Linked DNA regions of Diceros bicornis minor. The protein of the gene in region 1 interacts with the protein of each later gene in a pairwise test. Links are inferred from orthologs where the notes say so. Each region holds a gene or a part of one and is shown in the gene's direction. Other genes may lie near its edges.

Region 1 (11,232 bases):
ATGTGTCCACTCTCAAATTCTTTTGGGTCTGTGGACCAAGAACCTGGGACCCCACCGCACCAATCCGACTGGTGCCAGCAACAATACAATATCACAACTTGGATATCAACATTGATACACTCAAGAGACAGAACATTTTCACCACCACAAGATCCTTCATGATGCCCTTTTAGAGCCACACTCACTTCCTTCCAGACCCCACCCCCTCCTTAACCCCAGGGGGTTACCCACTAATCCATTCTCTGTCAATTTTTGCTTCATATATTTTGGGATCTGTGTTATTAGGTGTGTATATGTTTATAATTGTTACTGAAACTTTTATCAATGTATAACATCCTTCTTTGTCTTTTGTAGCCTTCTAAAAAAATTTAAAGTCTACTTCGTCTGACAATAATATAGCCACCCAGCTCTGTTTTGGTTACTATTTGCATGGAATATCTTTTCTATCCTTTCACCTCACCCTCTTCACGTCCTTATATCTAAAGTGACTCTCTTGTAGACAACATATAGATGGATCATTTTTTTTCACTCTCTTTGCCAATCTCTGTCTTTTAATTGGTGTATTTAGATCATTTAGACCATTTCCTGTGTTCTATAAATTTCTCTCTCAACACTGCTTCATCCTATAAATTTTGATATGTTGTCTTTTTGTTTTCATTTAGTTCAATGTATTTTTAATATTTCTTTGAGACTTCCTCTTTGATATATGGATTATTTAGACATGTGTTGTTTAGTTTCCAAGTGTTTGGAGATTTTCCTGTTATCTTTCTGTTATTGATTTGTAGTTTGAGTCCACTGTGATCGGAGAACACATTCTATATGATTTAAATTCTTTTAAAACTGTTGAGTTTGTTTTATGACTCAGGATGTGGTCTATCTTGGTACATGTTTTGTGGGCACTTGAAAAGAATGTGCATTCTGCTGTTGTCAAGTGGAGTGTTCTATAAATGTCAATTAGAACCTGTTGTTGATTGTTTTGTTAAGTTCTCCTGTATACTTGCTGATTTTCTGTGTAGTCATTCTATCAATTGTTGAGAGAGGGATGTTGAAGTCTCCAATATAATTGTGGATTTGTCTATATCTTTTTTCAGTTATATCAGTTTTTGATTCACATATTTTATACTCTGTTTTTTGGTACATCCACATTCAGGGTTGTTATGTTTTCTTGGTAGATTGACCCTTTCATTATTTCTGTTTTTGGTAATTTTTTTTTGTTTTGAAGTCCACTTTATATGATATTAATATAGCCACTGCTGCTTTCTTTTGATATTTGCATGATATATCTTTTTCCATCCTTTCACTTTCAATCTGCCTATAGTATTACATTTGAGGTATGTTTCTTGTAGACAGCATATAGTTGGATCATATTTTTTTATCCACTCTGCCAATCTCTGTCTTTTAATTGGTATATTTATACCATTTACATTTAATGTAATTACTGATACATTATGGATTAAGTCTACCATTTTATTTTTTGTTTTAAGATTGTTCTCTCTGTTTCTCATTTCTCTGCTTTCTTTTTCCTGCCTTCTTGTAGGCTACTTAAACATTTGTTAGAATTCCATTTTGATTTATCCATAGTGTTTTTGAGTATCTCTCTCTATGGTTTATTTTAGCAGTTATTCTAGTTATTACATTATATATTATGTATATCTTATCATAGTCTACTAATGTTGTCATTTTGCCAGTTAGACTGAAATGTAGAAAACTTACCTCCCTTTATGTCCCTTTACCCTCCCCAATTTTAGTATCATCTTAAATATTTTCTCTATATACATTTAGAACCACATCAGACAGTATTATAATTTTTGTTTCAACCATCAAACATAATATAGAAAACTCAAGAGGAGAAGGAAAGCTTATTGAATTTACTCATATTATGATTATCATGTACTTCCTCCCTTCCTGATGTTCCAAGATTCCTTCTTTTGTAGTTTTCTTTCTGTTTAGAAAACTTCCTTTAGTCATTTTTTTAAGGGTAAGTCTGCTGGTAACAAATTCTCTATTTTCCTTCATCTGAAAATATCTTGATTTACCCTTCATTCTTGAAGGATGTTTTTACTGAACATAGGATTCTGGGATGACAGTTCTTTTCTTTCAGCACTTGGAAAATATGCCATTTCCTTCTGGCCTGCATGGTTCCCGATGAGAAATCCACTGCCATTTGAATCGTTTTTCCCCTATAGGAAAGATGTTATTTCTTTCTCATTACTTTTAAGATTTTTTTCTTTGTCTAGTTTTCAGAAGTTTGACTGTGATACGTCTTTGTGTGGATTTCTTTGATTTTTCCTAATTATAGTTCACTCAGCTTCTTGAATCTATAGGTTTATGTCTTTTGTCAAATTTGGGACACTTTCAGCCATTAATTCTTTGAGTACTTTTTCGACTCTGTCCTCTTTCTTCTCTCCTTCTGGGACTTAGATGATAGGAGTGTTAGATCTTTTGTTATAGTCCTACAGGTCCCTGAGGCTCTATTCATTTTTGTTTTCAGTCTATTTTCTCTCTGTTGTTCATTTGGGTAATTTCTATTTTTCTATCTTCCAGCTCACTGATTTTTTCCTCTATCTCTTCCATTTTGCTGTTGAATGCATCCATTAAGGTTTTTTATTTCTGTTATTATATTTCTCAGTTCTAAAATGTCCATCTGGTTCTTCTTTATGTCTTCTGTTTCTTTGCTGAAATTTTCTATGTCTTTGACGAGGCTTCCTATTTTTTCATTTGTTTTGAGCATGTTTATTGAAGCATTTTTATCATGACTGCCTTAAGATCTTTGTCAGATGGTGTTAATGTGCCTGTCATCTGTGTTGGCACCTACTGATTTTCTTTTTTCATTCAGTTAGAGAACTTCCTGGTTCTTGACACGACAAGTGACTGTCTACTGAAATCTGTACGTTTTGGGTATTGTGTTATGATACTCTGGGTCTTATTTAAACCTTCTGTTTTTAGCTGGCTTCCTCTGACACTGCTCAGACAAGGAAAGGGTTGGCACCCCTCCTTACTGTCAGGTGAAGGTGGAAGTCCAGGTTCTCCACATCATCTCCGCTGACACGGTGGTGGTTCTGGAGGACTACTCTCAGTGGGCATGAACATCCTGATTCCTTATTCAGCCTTTCCTTGACATTACTCCAGTGGCTTGAGAGGAGGGAAAGTCAGTTACCTCCTTACAGCCTGGCAAAGATGGATCTAGATTCCTCACTTGGTTTTTGCTGGCATGTGTGGGGATTAGGCCACAGATATTTTTGGTAGTGTTTGGCTGTAGTAAAGGGACTATTCTCTGAAAAGTTTTCTATATTGCTAAGCTGCCCATTTCCTTATCCTTTAGCTAGAGAGAGCAGGCTTCCATAGGGTTTTTGTTTGTTTGTTTGTTTGTTTGTTTGTGTCTGTTGGTGTTTCCAGGTTGCTGGCTTCTCCAGAACCCAGTCTGGGATATACGGGGCAAAAAGAAAACCCAGAGAACTGACCAATGTGTCATTTTTCAGGTCACAAGGTCCCTATTCTTTTCTCCACCTTTCAGAATCTTCTTATGTTGTTTTATGTATAAGATCCAGGGTTAGTTGTATTTAGCAAGATGAATAGAGAAAATTATGTCTACTCCATCTAGACCATCTGGAAACCATCTACTCCATCTGGAAACCGAACCATCCCCAATAATATATATATATATATATACACATTTTTTTTTGCTGAGGAAGATTCTCCCTGAGCCAATCTTCCTCTATTTTGTATGTGGGTCACCACCACAGCATGGCTGCTGATGAGTGGTGTAGGTCTGCACCTGGGAACTGAACCCAGGCTGCCAAAGCAGAGCACACCAAACTTAACCACTAGGCCATGGGCCCAGCCCCAATAATATACTTTTAATTATTGCAGTTTTATATTATGTTTTGACATTTGGTAGCAACCCCTCCCTTATTAATTTCTTTTTTTTTAATTGTATTGGTTATACTCATGACTTACCTTCCAGATTAACTTTAGACTCAGCACTTCAAATTCCCTTTAAAAAATCCCATTGGGTTTTTGATTGGGATTATATTAAATTTATAAATTAATTAGAGGGAGGTATCTACTGTATTAGAATATTAAGTCATTCCATCTAAGACCAAGATCTCTTTACTTTTTTTTCATGCTGTATGTCATGTCCTTCATTGAAGATTCATAGTTTTCTTGAACACTTCTCGTTAAATTTATTCTGACAGTTACAGGGTTTTTAAAACTGTAAATGTGATATTATTAACTAGCACTTTCTATTGGTAAGAGTCATTGGTTTCTATATATTTATCTTGTATCTGGCCACTGTACTTAATCTTTTCATTAATTCCTTCAGTGGCTATTTTTTTTTTTTTTTCTGTACTAAGCATCTGCTTCCCCCACATTTCTTCTGGTAACAATTACAGGAGTGCATATATAATCCAGTACAAGTCAATCACAGCACCTCATGCTCCTAGATGAAAGGTGGGCACATGACCCAAGACAAACCAGTCAAGACCCTTCCTAGGATTTTTATGGGTGATTTGACAGGGAAGAGGTTTGTTTCTTCTCTGGTCATGGAGTTGTCAGATACAATCCTAGGTACTACTGGTAGCCAATTTTCTCTAATTGCATAGGGAAGCTATTCTAATTTGGAAGATAATGAAGCTGAAACAGAGTATGAAACCAAAACAATTGAGAGAGAGAGAGAGAGAAAGAGAGAGAGCACGCAATATTTGTTCCTTGTTTACAATATACCCCTGCCTTTCCTATCCCATGAGCCAATAAGCCCCCTCTTCTTTAAATTACTTTGAGTGAGGTGGATTTATTTACAACTAAAAGAATCTTGACTGTACAGAACTGGTATCAGGAGTGGGATGTTGTAAGAAACAGAATTTAAAAGGTGAACCTGGCCAGGTGGTGTGGAAAGCAGTGAGAAACCATTCTTTGCAATTTGGGAAGATAATTATCCTCATGGAAATGGATCAGCTGGATTAACCATCTCCTGTTGTACTTTAGAGCTCAGACTGTGTGCCTAATGGCGTTGTAATTATTGGGGATTTGATAGAAAAATGTTAGATATTGAATGTGATATACTACTTGTGATCTTCAGTATGGTGCTACAAGATAACAAAAATCTTTCTTTTAAACTGGACCATAAAAAGAGATTGGATAATTAGCTTTGTTAAGAAAGATCTAGTCTGTTTGTAACCAATGACCTAAGACCACTGAGAGACAATTGTGTGCTACATGTAATTGTAAAAGCTGAATTTAATTTTCTATGCTAAAGTTAGGAGGAGTCAGAGGAAACAATCCATTATAATCATAATCTGTTTGTTTGTTTGTTTTCCATCTCTCTATTCTTCCTCAGGGTTGGATAATTCCCCTCATAGTCCCAAAGCCCTCATGACTGACGGCAGCTCCTGGGGCTACAAGCTTCCTTGTTCAATATCATCAGGAGAAACAAGACCATGCCCCAACATTTTCAGTGAGTCCCATGATTCACTCTGATTGGGCTGCCATAGATCTGGAGCCCATCCCTGAACAATCATTTTGGCTAGGGAGACAGGAACATACTGACTGGCACACCCCTAGATTTGGGGATAGAAAACAATCCCAGATTAAATCTCTTGGCTGAGAATGGGAGGGGGAAAGATGGTTTCCCAAAGGAAATTCAAGGTCTCGGTCCCAGAAAGGATGGTGGGCAAAGAACCCCAGATATCCATATACCAAGGAAGAATCTTAACCTAAGGCCTAGATGGACAGTCAGAGCCCCCAAGCCTGTTGCTAAGAGACAAACCACAAAAGCCAGGTTCAGAATCAGGTTTCATGACTGGGCAAGATTTCCAGCATTGGTTACTTGCACATGGCATCCCTAGGAATGGAAATGGCAGACAGCCAACTAGGATTTAAGGCAGTTGTGTCACCAGAGAAATCCCAAGCCTGGCAAACACGGGCCTCCGATTGCTCAACTCTGAGATAATTCCAACTCTAACTATGCCAGTGGGAAGTGGGGCACTTGAGCAGGACACCTCCCAAGAGGGGACTTCCCTTTAAATTCCTCTTGGGTCTGGCCATGGACGAGATAAATCCAGGCAGTGGCCAAAATCAGGGGCAATCAGACTTGCTAAGACACACCTGATTTCACTGCCAAGGAAGTGAGTCCTTGTAGGTCCTGCCTTCTGCCTGTGGTATTTTCCAGACTGTGGACCACTGTCTGGTATTTTCCCTTGTCCACTTTCTTTTAAAAAATATACTTAAAATTTTTTTTACAAAAATAATAAGTACTCATTTTTATAACACCAAATAATATAAAAAGTTATAAAATGAAACTTTAGTCTGTTCCTAGACCCTCCCCTATTGGATCCACTCCTCCCCCCTGGAGGGTTACACTATTAAGAGTTAGGTACGCATCCTTCAGAGGTTGTCCTATGTATGTACCTACAAGTACAAACATACATCTAAACTGTGCAAGACAGTCAAATTGAAAAATTAAAGTCTTCCTCCATCAATCTGACGCCCATCCCCCAGAAGTAATCATTTTCAACCATTTCTCTTTTTAGCCTTCCTGACAATACTTCCATAATGCCAGAAAATATGCTAATATCTCTAATTCATCGTTTCAACAATATCTCCTGACTCGCTGCAATGAAAGATAACGAGTTTAGCTTGCTTTCACTGCGTCCCTTCTTTCCCTAATCCCTGCCAGTCACATATTTACTTACCCTTTCTATTATTTAATTTTAGGACTTTAAATAACATATTTAAACATCTATTTCCTGACTTCTCTTCAGATTGTTGCCTGTACAAAAAGGACTTTATTTTATTCTCGTACCTGATTGCTATTTTGGCTGGGTATAATCTCCCATCAACATCAGTTAGGATTAAGTACAGTGTAAATAAGGGACCCAAAACAGCAGTGGCTCGAAGTTGAAGTTTATTTTCTTTCTCATGTAGAAGATTGCAGGGGACTGGGCTCCTTCCAGTTTTCTACTCTGCCACACTTAGGATGTGGTCCTTGTCTTCACGGCCCAAGATGGTGGCCTCATATTGGCTTCCAGGCAGCAGGACGGATGGAGGAAGGTGCAAAGAAGGAAGGGACAGTCACATGGCCACACTTAGCTTTAAGGGAGGCTGGAAATGTAGCCTTGCTTTTGGATGGCTACGTGCCCAGCCAAAGACCCAAGGTTCTATTACTAAGGAAGAATGGGGGACAGACGCTGGGGACACTAGCAGTCTTGCCACTCCCTCTGCCCTTTGCAGGCTTGCTCACCTTCTTCTTGTCGGGATTGTCGGTGAGACATCTGATGACAATCTGATTTTCATTTCTTTGTACGTAATCTGTTCTTTCCCCTGGAAGATTTCACATGAGAGAGAATTACATGTGCAGAAACCTTGGGGCCCGAGAATACAAATCATTTGCTCACAGTGCTGTGACTTGAGATTGTCCTTTTCTGACTCCTTCCTTCCTGTGCCCTCTGCGTTCACCCACTCAACCAATGTGGGTGCTCTCCAGCTGTGTACCTTCGGCCTTCCTCTCACTCTCCCTGAGTGACAGCATCCTCCCATGGCTTTGGCTGCCGCCCACGGGGTTGAATTCCAAATTTATCTCCACAGCTTACATCTCTTTCTCAACCTCGAGATCCAAAACAATCCAGTCATCTACTGGTATCACCACCTGACTGACCCACAGGCTGCCCGAGCTCCTCACGTGCCAGTCTGAGCTCTCCAGTTCCTCTCACCTCACTGCACAGCAATTCGCCCCTTTGCCCAAGGCAGAAACCCACAATTTCTGACCGGTCTACACCTCTATATGTTGCTTCCTCTCCCTGAACTTCCCTCTTCCTTTCTTCCCTTGATTAATTCTCATTCATCTTTCATAACTCTGTTGAGGGGTAACGTTTTTGGCAAAGTGTTTCCTGGTTTGGTTCTGCCTCAGTCTGGGTTGGGTGGCCCTCTCTTGGGTTCCCAAGCTAGCTGGAGAGTCCCCGTATCCCATCACCACTGCGACACTTTCTGATCTTCTGCACCCTCGTCTGGACTGTGAGCTATTTGATGGTAGAGATGGGGTCTTATCTCTGAATCCCCAGCATCTGGTAGAGCATTTGGCACATAGAAGTGGCAGCTTCAGAGCTTGCTGCGCCGTTCCCCAGTCACAGCCTCCGTGCCTTGCTCTACTCCAGCGCGGCAAAAATCTCCAGCCCTACAGAGACTGCGGTGCAAGTCTCTGATTACTGTTTTCCAGAGATATGCTGCAAAGGACAGGAACAGCAGCAAACTCTCCAAGACCGAGTTCCCAGCCTTCGTGAACAGAGAACTGGCTGCCTTCACAAAGAACCAGAAGGACCCTGGTGTCCTTGACTGCGGGATGAAGAAACTGGACCTCAACTGTGATGGGCGGCTAGATCTCCAAGAATTTCTTAATCATATTGGGGGCTTGGCCACAGCTTGCCATGAATCCTTTATCAAGTCTACTTATTCCCAGAGTAAATCTCAGGAGCCCTTGGGCCTGGCCTCCATACCCGCCCACCTCTTTTCCTTCCAGCCTCCCAACCATCATCTACTCCTCACAGCCCACACATACCCTGAGCCCAGCACACCCGCCACCCCATGCCAGCCACTCCTGCTGCTGTTAATAAAACAATATCGTTTTTTAACACACACACACACACACACACACACACACACACACACACAAAAGGGGCAGCTTCCATTTTTTGCTGTCCAGCTCATTTCCCATACACCTCCTGATAACTGCAACCCCGTTTCTTTGGGGGACTTCCTCCTTCACTCCACGTGGTCCTGAGGAGCTGGGAATTGGGGTGCTCTCTCTGCTTCTGCCTCCTCTACAGATATGGACATGTGATCCAGGCTGGATTAATCACAGTCTACCATGTCATTAATCACAGTGATTAGACCAACGAGTATCAGTGACCAAGAAGGACCAATCAGACTCTTCCTTGGGATTAACATATAGACATGGGAGGGAGGGCCTCTCCACGCTGGGATTGCTAGTTGAGAGGATATGTTGGGATTGCTAGTTGAGATGGTATGTTTGGATTGCTAGTTGAGAGGATATGTTGGGAGTGCTTGCTGAGATGAGGCACAGAGCTGTGGGTGGCTATCTCCCCTCCACGTGAAGGAAGTCTCTCTGCAGAACAGAGACAAGCGGAGATAAAACATGGGCAGAGAGGGAATTCTGGTGGCCTTGAGTCCCGAGTTCCAGTTCTCTTGGCTCCTATTGTTCTTCCTTCACTCCTTTAGGCTCTCACAGTCCCTCCCCAGGTGCATGAACCAACAAATTCTCTTTCTGTTTAAGTTGGTTTGAGTGGGGGCCGGCCCCGTGGCTTAGTGGTTAAGTGCGTGCACTCCGCTGTTGGCGGCCCGGGTTCGGATCCCGGGCACGCACCTACGCACCACTTCTCCAGCCATGCTGAGGCCGTGTCCCACATACAGCAACCAGAAGGATGTGCAACTATGACATACAACTGTCTACTGGGGCTTTGGGGGAAAAAAATAAATAAAATTATAAGTCAGTTTGAGCGGGTTTCTACCTCTGTAACTGAAAGAGTTCTGACTAACGGAGAACTCTGTAAAGTTTAATGACAACATTAAGAAACTAAGTGAGCCATCTCCAGTGCCTCTCTTCCCCTCGCTCCCTCTGAGCACGGCAAGATGCCTCACCTATGCTCTTTGGAGAGGTTGATACCATCGCTTGCTTTCACTTATGGTGTCAAGTCTGAACTCTTCAGTTTGGCAAGTGAGACCTTTCTGATCTGATCCCAACTTTCCCAGCCAATCTCCTGCCCTCTTCCCAGGCAGCCTCTGTGTCAGCCAGATAAATGCTCACATTTCTCTGAATTTGTCCTGTTCTTTCGGACTGCTGCATCTCTGCACGAGCCTCAACCTGGAATGCTCTTCTCCCTCCCACCCCTCCATGAATCCCAATCCACCCTCCAAGACCAATCCCAAGTGGCACCTCCTTCAAAGCCTTCCTGCCCTACCCAAGCAGAGTCTAGCCTCCTTTTCTGCAACATCACCTCTGTTGTACACTGAGTGCCCATCACACTGAACTGCAATTATGGTTGACTCATCTGTCCTTCCTCTACTAGACAGGGTTCCCTAAAGGCAGAGAGCTGCTCTTTATCCACCTCTGTATCCCCGTCTCCCAACACCCACAGCAGAGTGTTAACGAACACGTGGTGAGTGAGTGGAGGTTTTAGGAACAGGCTTCATTTCCTCATCTGTAAAAGGGTAGAAAAGGAGTTCTTCTGACCGACACTCCCCCAGGTTTCAGGTTTCAGAAGAGAGGCAAGTCTTGTGACCCTCGCCAGGACACTCCTCCATGCAGAGAGGTGGAGAGTGGGAAGGCAGTGTGGATGCCACCTGACTGGCCTGTGTCTACACTGGCTTCTAGTTGTTAGTGATGGGAGAACTTAGAGAATTGCCTTAGGGAACTCTGACTCTCCCTGAGATTCTCAGAGCTTTGAGTAGCCCTGCCCCCCTCTCACTTTCCACCGCACAAAAGTGATAGAAAGAACCAATAAGGTAAAAAAAAAGGGGGGGGGGTTCTTAGAAATCTCCTGACCCTCTATTCATGTGGCAGGACAGATTCATCCCCGGGAGGTGTGGGGCGAGCTTTGGGGGAGTCAGAGAAGGGGCTGGGGGAGGTTCTCTCTGTTGCTTGCACGCACATCCTCTGGCAGTGCCTCTGTGTTGTTTATGAGGTTTCCCACACCAGTGAGAGGCGACACGGTGGAGGGTCTGGAATCCAGATTGGCTGTGTGAGTTATTTGTAAAGTACATAATAAGTGCTATGCAAATACTTGTTTAGACTATATTAGGGTTTCATGTGTTGAAAGCCAGTCTTGGGATCCCAGAACCCTTTTCATCCTTAATAAAGGGACCCCTCAAGGAGCCTGTGAGGGGACTAGGTGTGGTGGTGGTGGAAAGGGTCATGGAGGATGTAAAAGACACAGTGAAATTCCTCAAGTATCCACAAGAGGGCACTTCATAATGGAGAGCCTTACCGGCCTCATTGCCTTGTTTGCTTCCACTTGGGTTTCTGTATGAAAGCAAGTCAATCAGAATCAGACCACAAATGGGTGATAATGGCTGAAGGTGCTGCCCAGTGATGATAAATGACTCATACAGGAGCACCTCCTAACTCAAGCTATGTGCACTGAGATACACACCACCTCTTACTCCTCAGAGCCCCAGATATCCCCAACCTTTAGCACTGTCCCCAGCCTGCTACCCTGAGGG
Region 2 (10,806 bases), on another chromosome or scaffold:
TGACCTGACTACAGACCAGATTTGCAAATGACATGAAACGAGGGGGTAAAATTACTCATTAGAAATAATGATCCTCCAAATGGAAATAGGTTAAAAGAATTAGCCTAACTGAACAGAATAGAAATTAATAGAGATACTTGTAAAGTGTTGGACACAAACTTCAATAAAGTGTAACACGGAGAAGCCTAATTCAGTAGCACATTAATACTTTAAAACTTAAGGTTTGGCAAATTATAATCTTATTAGAAGTGAAAGGGTAATACTGCTGCCCCAAAAGCTAATATTCTCCCAGGGTCCATTTAAAGAAGTATACTATTTATAATAAAGGCAGTAAGAATACCATTCTATTCTGTTATTTGGATGTTATTTTGTTCAGCTCTGGGCACCAGACTTTAGGAAGAACACTGGCATAATGAATCTTGTTTAATTAGCATGGAGAACGGATGAGGAACATTGAAGGAATTGATATATAGCCAGGCTGGTAAGGGGTGAGGGGTTGAGGGGAAGGATATAATGATGATCTTCAAGTACTTAAAGAGCTCTTGTGGAATCAGGCTAATTCCATTCTGCAAGACTACAGGGGTCAAAATGTAGAGCAGATGTGCTGGGAGCCTACCCCATGCCAGGCCCTTTGCAATAGCTGGATGTTATAAAGGCAGTAGATTTCTGAGTAAATTTAACAAAACTGGGAAGGGGGTGGGTATTCCCTCACTTGAGTCCAAGGAAAGGTTATCCATATTTCCAAATCTGTCTGCACCGTAGGGTCTAATTTAATTGGTTTGGGGTAGAGCCTAAGCTCAGGATTTTTGCAAAGCTCCCCAGCTATTTAAAATGGGCACTACTAATGTGAACAAGAAAATGCAAACGGATTCAAACTGGATATGTATACTGGCTAGAAACCAAGTGGAGAACGCACTCATGTTCCAATACTAAACTCTCCTGAACTCTGGAAGCAGACTTTGAAGCTTGAAGAAATGAAAACTTAGAAATGAAGTCACTATCTCAGAAGACATTGACAGGCTTATGTGTATGAATCAAGCTTTCAGTTGCTGTGGCTGATACTGCTTCAGTCTTTAGGGATGTCTTTCATTTTTGAACTTCTATACACTTACAGTTTCATAATAGAATTTGACATTGATTTCATACTGTCTGCACTATCTATTTAATGTAGGTGAATCTTAGCATAAAAATAATAAAAACTACCAAGTCAGCTTTCATTTGTTGAAAGTCTATTGGGACAAACACTTTTTACATATCTTATTTCATCTTCTCAACAGTCCTATAAATTAAATTTTCTTATATTCATTTTATATATGAGGAAATTGTGGCTGAGAGAAGTCAAGTGACCTGCTCAAATTGAACAGCTAATAAGTAGCACAATTGAGACTTGAAGCCAGATTTGTCTGATTCCAATGTATGTGTCTTTACCCAGTGTGTTAGTCAGGGGTCTCCAGAGAAATAGAGCCAATAGGAAGAGATTTATTATGAGGAATCAGCTTGGGTGATTATGGAGGCTGAGAAGTCCCATGATCTGCTGTCTTTAAGTTGGAGACCCAGGAAAGTTGGTGATGGTACAATTCCAGTCTGAGTCCCAAGGCCTGAGAAGAAGGGGAGCTGATAGTGCAAATACCAGTCCAAGGGCAGGAGAAGACCCATGTCCCAGCACAAGTACTCAGGCAGGATGCAAAAGGGGCAAATTCCTCCTTCCTCCACCTTTTTGTTCTATTCAAGCCCTCATGGATTGGATGATGCCCATTCACATTGAGGAGGGCAATCTACTTTCCTGAGTCCACCAATTCAAAAGCTAATTCCAAAAACACCCTCACAGGCATACCTAGAAATAATATTTAATCTGGGCACCCTTTGGCTCAAACTGACATATAACATTAACCATCACACCCAGCATACAAAGATATGAGGTCATTCAGGTCAGGGAACTTGTTTCTGATTTCCTTTATGATTGGGGAAAGTAAGGCTATATGACATTTTCTTGGCTAAGCATTATCACAGGGAGCCATCATAAGCAAACAAGCTTGTCTGAGAAAATTTTAATTGTGTAACAATGATAGCCTAAATATAAAAGATTGTGATTCAATTTTAATAATATAGAGAGCATCAAACATTTGTTGAAATGGCAGAACTACAGCAGAACTCATGCCATAGTTCTTCTAATGAATGTATGGTCTATAAAATTGCATAAACATTCTCTTCAGAGTACTTTAAACTTGACCACCAAAAGCAAACTAGAGTCAGATTATCTTCTTCAAGACCACTTCCTCCCTCTAGTGACCAGAAATGGGAATACCATATTCACAAGCATTTGAAAAACTGATTCTCAACGTGTATGTGTACCTCCCTCTAGAGAGTGTTTGGGAAATTTGCCAGAGTTATTTTGGTTATTACAATGAATGTGGGTGCTCTTGGCATTCCTTAGGGGCATTAGGAATGCTAGACATCTGGCAATGTGAGGGACAATGCCCCACATAAAACGATTATCCAGCGCTAAACATTCATGCAGATGAAAAATCTATTAGTATTAAAGCCTAGAACCCAGCACTATTTTACATATGAAAACAAAGGTTTTTTGCACTTTTTTTATACACTGCATTTTTGAAAGAAACTTCTTATTTCATCTACTCCAAATCACTGATTGCAAGATACATCATTACCTAACACTAAAAATGAAAACAATGTCAATTAAACTCCAACACAAAGCTTTTAATATGCAGAAATTTTATTTATCAACAACACAGTGAAAAGGCAACCTATGGAATGGGAGAAAATATGTGCAAACCATATATCTGAAAAGAGGTTAATCTCCAAAATATCTAAGGAACTAGTGATTCTATAGGCATAGCCGTCTAGCTACTTTATCATGTCATTTAGTGTAGGCATGCCCAAGCATTTACAAATTCGAATAGATATTTTAAGAATTATTTTATTTTTATTTCTCCTTAAATTACCACTAAGAAGTTATACTGATTTTTTTTTTAAATTGTGCATGATGGTATACTATTTTGAATTTCAAGAAAGAAAAAAGAAGTCATAAAACATTTATTATAAGAAGGAATGTTATATCTGATGGATTGAGAACTGTTGACTTAAGGCATTAAAGCGAAGGTCATGAATTCTTGTTTCTCCCTTTAGTAACTGGGCACTGCCCCAACAACTGTCACTATCTTTGTGGCTGGGGAGAGGGGAATAGGATGAAGAGGGGAATAGAGGAAAGAGAAAATTTAACATTAAATTGGGGTGGGTGGTCATATGGCCTTATTTCTAAGAAAGCACCTTCTCATTTTATATGTTGTGTAGGGTTGTAGAATCATATAATAAAGGAGTGCACAGGTTCTTGAGTCAGATTAAAACTGGGTTCAGATTGAGGCTCCTTCACTGCTGTGTGACCTTGGATAAGCGACTCAATTTCTCTTTGCTGCAGTTCCTTCTGAGGTAAAGTAAAATGGAGGTCATAATATTATCACCTCATAGGGTTGTGAGGATTAAATGAGATAACACATTTAAGTGTGTAGGTGTCTGGTGTATAGAAGACACTAAATAAATGTAAGCTATAATGAATATATAACCAGAAACCATATCATTCTGAAAAACAAACTTGCTATTCAAAAGAGTAACAATAGGTGATATTTCATAAATTTTTCAGTATTTACTGTACACTTTAGTAAAGTCACTCCTATTTGACTATATTAATTTATGTTTGAACTTCTGTTAAACTCCTTGTCCTGTAGCAAATGAAAATTACCTCTTAGATTTTCATGGCATTTTCTATGGATATTTTTCCATAGAACCATAACTTATTGATGTATATTTTTCTGTGTAGTGAGGTTTATTGCCAACTGCCAACAGAACAGGCTCTGTTGTATACAAAAAAATTCTATATTCCAATACGTAAAAAACATAAAATACGATTCATAGCTATAAAACATTTATCCACCCAACTCAAAATGAATACTTATACTACTCAAACTCATATTATTCGTTTCAGTAAAACTTTTTAAAATTGTCATTTAAATCAAATCATCAGGTTTCACTGAAATCTTCTATGAAAGAGTCACTGGGCTGGCTATACTACAGTAGATGCTAAGGAAGAAGAAGCCACTATACAGCCATCCTTGTCTAGCTGGGATGAGGAGACTGATCTGCATGAAACAACCAAGCAAGTTAAAGAGAGAAGATAGATAAGTACTAAATTGGATGGCAAGGATCATAAGAGCCACAGAAATTCAGAGGACTATCAGAACGGTAAGGTGGTTAAGGAAGGTTATACATAGAAGATGGGAGGAGGCAATCTGCCAATTAATGTATGTCCGACCATGAGTGAGTTAACTTCTCTGTGCTTCCTGGGTCCTTGTTTATGAAATTAATGCATTTAAAATGCCTAGTGCAATCAACATGATGTAGGCTTGAATGGACTTTTAAAAAATGGGAAGGCTGTTATTAGTAATCCTGTAAATGATTCCATTTACAGAAATAATCAAAGCTAGAGACAGGGATGTTTCAAGCAGTGGAAATATAAATCTTTTAAAAATTTTGGTATACACAAGGGAAAAAAAGTTCACAGATAGCAGCTTTATGTAATTTTCTAATTTTCTGTTGCAAATAGCAAACTCTTTTTTTCCTGTATGGCAAAGTAACTTTCATTCAGCATTTGCTTCTTCTCTGCATCTTGGCTCAGGTTAGAATCTAAGAGAATTCATCCTTCAACAGTGCCAAGATTCTTTAGAAAAAGAAACAAGGCAGAATAGTGTCAAAGAACAACTCCAAGTCACAAAATCACTTAATTATAGCACACTGTTTACTTTTTTACAAGGAGGATAAATCAATAGATTGATTTCATCCCACAAAGGCAAAAAACAGGATTTATTAAAAGAAAGAGGAAAGAGAAGAGAGAAAAAATGAATTCTGGGAAGAGTGAATCTTATTTGCACAATTTTTTATGGAATAACTGATTAGCTGGCAGCAGTCAATCTGGACAGTCAGTCCTTGAGTATGCTGACTAGAGGTACAAAAATATCTTAATTCTTTATGAATTCTCTGGAAAACCTTTGTGAACTAAACTATAAAGCTGTATGACAGACTGTTTCTCTGTAACGTCTGCCAGAGTCTTTCCATCAACACCTCATTCTTAGTTGGACCAGGTCTGCACATGTTCCCTCACTAGAAGTCTCAGTATACCTGATGCTTTTCTGTAAATCGTTTTTCCCTAAATCCTTACTTCTCACTGGATCCTCTTCTGAGCCCTTATTTGAAAGTGATCATAATCTGGGGGGCTCTGTACCGGAGTTTCTATTACAAAGAGTTATAATCAATCATTTTCTAATATGAATTTAAGACATTAGACAAAAACACACAAAATTTAAGTTTTCCCTCGTTCTTGCATTTTTGTAAGGATTAACATTAGTATTTTCACACCACAACAAACAACAGATAATAGTGACATCACTATCAAATGAATCGTATGAGTTGACTGACTTGAATAGAAAATAACTTTTTCTTACTTTTTAAGTAAATATTTTAATACTAACATTTTAAATGTTACTTAAAATATTTTAATTAAGACAATTAATAGCTCCAGTGCCTGCAAACAGTTGACTATTGCTTCTGTCCTGCAGTGAATTATCACAGAAGCAAATTCTGGCAAATATTTGCTGGCTTCATGCCCACAGGCATTATGAAGCAGGAACTCTTTTTAGATTAAGACTATAACCTGAGGTTAGGCAATATATAATGTGCATAATTTTAGAAATTAAAATCTCCTGAGATTACATATCTTCCAGTAATGCTTAAAGGCGAAATTTGCGCACTGCCGCGTGTGTGGGTCACCTCTGAGTAAGGAAAATACACTTTGCTATTTATATCATTTAAAAGTGACGAAGAAATATTGTCCAACTGCTTCGTAGGTGTTGGCCAAAGTATATAAACTTTAAAATCTCCACGGCAAATTGAAATAACCCTTTATTATGCCTTGCTAGGATGAGAGACGTTTCCCTCTCAGCTGCGCCTAATTTTTTAAATCATCACACAGCAACTTTTTACCTTTCTTAAAAATCAAACTCTGCTCATCTCTATTCTTTGGTAACACCCATGAATCCGTACATTAAAGAAAAACGGCATGTGGATTGTTGAATCCTCTTATAAATGGAAGCCCTATGAGCTGACTTGAATAGACAATAGCTAACCTCTCCTACTTTTTAAGTAAATATTTTAAGAGACAATAGCTTAGGTGCCTTAGAAATTCTTTCAGAGACTTAGAAATCCATATTAACACCGTTCTCACACGCTTGGGTTTGGTCTGCAAACATCAGTAAGCCAAACCTTCTCCAGGCTACGAAATCCACAGCATTCTGGAACTCGAAGACAAAGGAATACCCTTCACTGACCCGTGTAATCACAGGGCGCAGCGAGTTCTCGCGTGACGTTAAGACGCTACAGCCCTGACGTCACCGGTTACCATGGCAGCATCCTCCAGAGTGGAAAAGAGGGGTGGTGCGAGGGGCGGGGCGCGGCTTCTGCGGAGGACAAGGGAAGCTTTCCTCCTGCAGGTCTGACTTCTCCAAAATGAGCAGCCTGGATGAGGGCGGCAACCTCCCTGTCGCTGAAACCTGCGGCCTCGCTACTCCGGACCATGCCCCGGGACATCGGGACCTGAACCAGTGCGAGGGCGAGGAAACCGAGGCGACACAGGTGATGGCGGGCACAGGTGAGGGCGGCCTGGAGCCCACCGCGGAGGGAGGCGCTCCCCGGGACCCCGTGGGTTATGGCCCCGCGCTCCGCATTCGAGTTGCCTGCAGTCGCGGCCGTGCAGCGACCAAAGCGGGCCGGAAAGAGACCCCGCCTCCCACGGAGGGTCTGGAAGCAGCCTCTGCCTCCGCCTCGGGGGCAACCGACAATAGCCAGGAAAATGGCTGTCAGCGTAGAGAGCCGCGCGGCCCTGCTGGGGAGAAAGCTCTAGAAGCCTGTGGCGCAGGGGAATTGGGGTCTCAGATGATGCCTGGGGCGAAGGCCAAGGAAATGACAAAAAAGTGCGTCGTTTCAGCGGCTGCGGAAAAGGAGGGAGTAGCGGAGGAAGTGGTGGAGGAAAAGAAGGTGATACAGAAGGAAAAAAAGGTGGTAGGAGGAGTGAAAGAGGAGACACGGGCCAGGGCCCCGAAGATCAATAACTGCATGGACTCGCTGGAGGCCATCGATCAGGAGCTGTCAAATGTAAATGCCCAGGCTGACAGGGCCTTCCTTCAGCTGGAGCGCAAGTTTGGCCGCATGCGAAGGCTCCATATGCAGCGCAGAAGTTTCATTATCCAAAATATCCCCGGTTTCTGGGTCACCGCCTTTCGGAACCACCCCCAGCTGTCACCAATGATCAGTGGCCAAGATGAAGACATGATGAGGTACATGATCAATTTGGAGGTGGAGGAGCTTAAACAACCCAGAGCAGGCTGCAAATTCAAGTTCATCTTTCAGAGCAACCCCTACTTCCGAAATGAGGGGCTGGTCAAGGAATATGAGCGCAGATCCTCTGGCCGGGTGGTCTCTCTCGCCACCCCAATTCGCTGGCACCGGGGCCAAGACCCCCAGGCCCATATCCACAGGAACCGGGAAGGGAACACTATCCCCAGCTTCTTCAATTGGTTCTCAGACCACAGCCTCCTCGAATTCGACAGGATTGCCGAGATTATCAAAGCAGAACTGTGGCCCAATCCCCTGCAGTATTACCTGATGGGTGAAGGGCCCCGCAGAGGAATTCGAGACCCAGCAAGGCAGCCAGTGGAGAGCCCCAGGTCTTTCAGGTTCCAGTCCGGCTGACTCCTGCCCATGGGAGAATCTTGCACACGAGTTTCCTTGCCACCTCCTGTTGGACCTGTGCTTAGCCAACAGCATGCAGTCTTCTATCTGCTTTCTCTTCACACTGCGTTATTTGGTTCTTTGGTTCTTCTAAATCTTCAACAATCACTGCTGGCAAGATTGTCGCTTGTATGCTTATTCTCTTCTTCCTCTGGGCCTGCATGCTGTTCTGCATCGTGTTACATGTTCCAAGTGCCTGGCCTTCCACTGCCTCCATGCCAAGCACGTGATGCTGTAGATACGCGCTGCCTTCCTTGGCATGCCTTGGGCCCTGTCTGTGACCATGCTCTTCTCCCAGTTATTTAAGTGCTTATCGGCCACAAAGAAGCTTGATATATCTTTGCAAATAACTAGCTGGGCATCGTGCTTTATGCTGGCTGTCCTCCTGATACCAGTGTACTCTATGACAAGCTCTTTGAGTTTCACTGCTGCAAGATGAAGCTGATGTAGGTGATGCCAGCCATCAATCCAAACTGGACATTCCAGGCTACCACTAACTGGTTCTCAGCTGTCTTCCTGGGCTGGTGCCATCCACCCTGCTGATTATCTGGCAGAATAAGCAGGTGGCTGGTGGGTGGCTATTAGGCATGAATGAGGTAACAGATGAGAGGTGTTCTGTGTTCTCACTTTGGTCTTATTATGCCTTTGGTCACTCTGCATTGTGACCAGGTACTGGTGAGTATGAAGGCCTGTGCTATGGCCCACCCAAACCTGCTCTCAGCCTTCTGGATGAGCTTTGCACAGGCACCATGCCTGCCTCCTTAGGAACTATCTGTGGACTTAAGTTCCTAAGCAGCACATAGGGACACCACCGCCCCCCACCCCCCGCCCCAAACCCAATGGCTGTTAGGCAGGTTGGGCAGTCATATGTGACAGTGCCCAAAACAAGGCTGGTATGTGGGTCCTTTCTAGCAGTTGGCCTTTCTGAGCCCTAGCCAACAAACCACCTAGGCACCTTTGTTGGGCATCCCCCTCCTAAGCCCTCCTGCATCCATTCTGAACATGACAAAGTCGCCAGTGTGGAGGCACTGGGGAAGAGGTATTTCTGATCTGTGGAGCCTGTTATGGACCTGTCTCTGTCTGCCTCTCTCTGTCTTTGTCTCTTTCACCCTCTGCCTCCCTCCGTCCTTCCCCTGTTCTCTTTCCCTCCTCCCTCCCTCTGAAGCAGTTACAGCTCAGAAACAGAAAACAAAACTGGCAAAGCAGGCTTTTTGTTTAATTTGCTCTGTCCTTGATTGTGTCCAGAGGGAGAAAGCTACTGTATGATAGACACCAGATCTCTTACTGCCCTCATACCTCCACCCCACTTCCTTTAGCAAGGTCTAAACGTTTCAAAGGGAGATCTGTAGGTAATTGCTTAGTGATGGGAAGTGATTTTTTGGGGCCAACTTGGACAACCCCACCCTTTTTCCCTATCCATTCACCAAAACCTTCTGTGTGTTTCTTGAGCTTTAGTTTGAGAAGCTGGGAGGAGAGACAGAAGGGCCTCACAGTGATGGGTTCAAGACAGACCCAGAGCAGGTTTTGATCTAAAGCAACCAAAACTTAGTTTTACTCCACTTTTCTAAACATGGAAATTCTTTTTTGGGCCTTGGACCACTTAGAAATAACCCAAGACAGCATTTTGAGGGTCAACCCTGTCCTTTGTACTATTCAGTTACCACCCTGATGTGCCAGGGGCTTCCACCCTACTGCCTGGCCTTGGCTCTCAGTCTTCAGCTTCCCCATATCCTTCCCTGCTTCTGTCCTAACAAAGGAGGGAGCAGGCTGCAGTCTGCATTGTGGGAGATGCCAAGCCTTCCTCTTACGAGGTAAGGGGATGTGTGGAGTCTGGATTTCCAGGACAAGTTCCAGTAGGTGGGACAGCAGTGCTGTCAGGGCTCTCCTATTTATGGAGATGTATGGTCGTTATGACTATCCACCCTTATCCTTTCTCCTTTCTTTTTGAAGGCCTGAGCTCCCCGAGGGCAGCTCCACAGAGCAGTGTGTGTGTGGGGGGTCGGTGCTTTAGGCTGGGGAAACTGAAAGCCCAGAAACAAAAATGAGCTTGCTGTGGAGTGGGCTTGGAAAGGCAGACAGGAAAGACTGGAACCCTACAGGGTCTGGGGTGGGAGGGGAGACCCCTGAGGCTTTTCCCGGAAGAGGTGGGTTAACATTTCAAGAGGATGCTTGGAGGAGTTAGGTTTTCCTCCAGTTTTTCCTAACTCCTCGAATTCACCAGTAGATTTTTGTACACAAAAGTGCAAGTCTGGATGTTTTCTTTCTATTATATGTGGAAGATTAATGGTATATGTCCTTATTTCACTGTGTTTAAGTAAAATCCTTTTAATTCCTTTCTCCTTTTTTGCTTGCTGGCAAGATTGACATTTACAGGCCTGCTTTTTGCTTGTAATTGAGAATGTGTGCAAAAATATCAAACTTGTTTCCTGTGCAGTGTGAAGACTTCTGCGAACATTCAATAATATATCAGCTTGTTCCGGTCTCTCTTCATATATAGCTCTATTCTTAGAAATATAATTTGAATGTGATCTTTGAAATTTTGCAAATTGTTGCTGTCTCATGAAAGAAATCTCAAAAACATAACTGTTGTCTTACTTGATATTTCTTGCTCTAGCAGTAATGTTGTACTTGACATTTTATGTTCCCAACCAGTGTAAGTACTTGTAGAATTGTTCTGTAGAATTGCTCTGGCAGACTAAACAAGGATTATTAGTGCTTTAGTCTTCTCCTGTGTGCGAAGGAAAAGTAAAATCTGTCACTCTGCTGTATTTCTTGTTTTGACCAAAAAATAAAAATAAAGTTCTGTCTGTGTTGTTTAGGCTAATAAAAGGTGGAGAAATCATTAAAGTTATCAAATTGTGACAGTAAGCATCATCCTGAAGCTTAAAAAAAGGAACAGCCACCAAACCTCCAAAATTTTTTGCTTGGATAGTGGTAAATAAGCCCAACTAA

Evidence for each region.
Region 2: the proteins of CDK5RAP3 (region 1) and TSPYL4 interact in binary tests that used the Homo sapiens proteins (3 or more experiments, as listed by UniProt). The two-hybrid records come from large-scale screens. The link is inferred for Diceros bicornis minor from reciprocal best matches to the Homo sapiens genes CDK5RAP3 and TSPYL4.

What each region holds. Positions count from the first base shown.
Region 1 is NC_080757.1:38,081,447-38,092,678, reverse strand, and holds the start of CDK5RAP3 (CDK5 regulatory subunit-associated protein 3), read left to right. Parts: upstream 1-5,619; 5' UTR 5,620-5,622; coding exon 5,623-5,625; intron 5,626-7,534; exon of another isoform or gene 7,535-7,635; intron 7,636-8,120; exon of another isoform or gene 8,121-8,474; intron 8,475-8,819; exon of another isoform or gene 8,820-8,833; intron 8,834-11,232. UniProt on the Homo sapiens protein: Substrate adapter of E3 ligase complexes mediating ufmylation, the covalent attachment of the ubiquitin-like modifier UFM1 to substrate proteins, and which is involved in various processes, such as ribosome recycling and reticulophagy (also called ER-phagy).
Region 2 is NC_080762.1:19,893,996-19,904,801, forward strand, and holds TSPYL4 (testis-specific Y-encoded-like protein 4), read left to right. Parts: upstream 1-6,518; 5' UTR 6,519-6,573; coding exon 6,574-7,815; 3' UTR 7,816-9,845; downstream 9,846-10,806.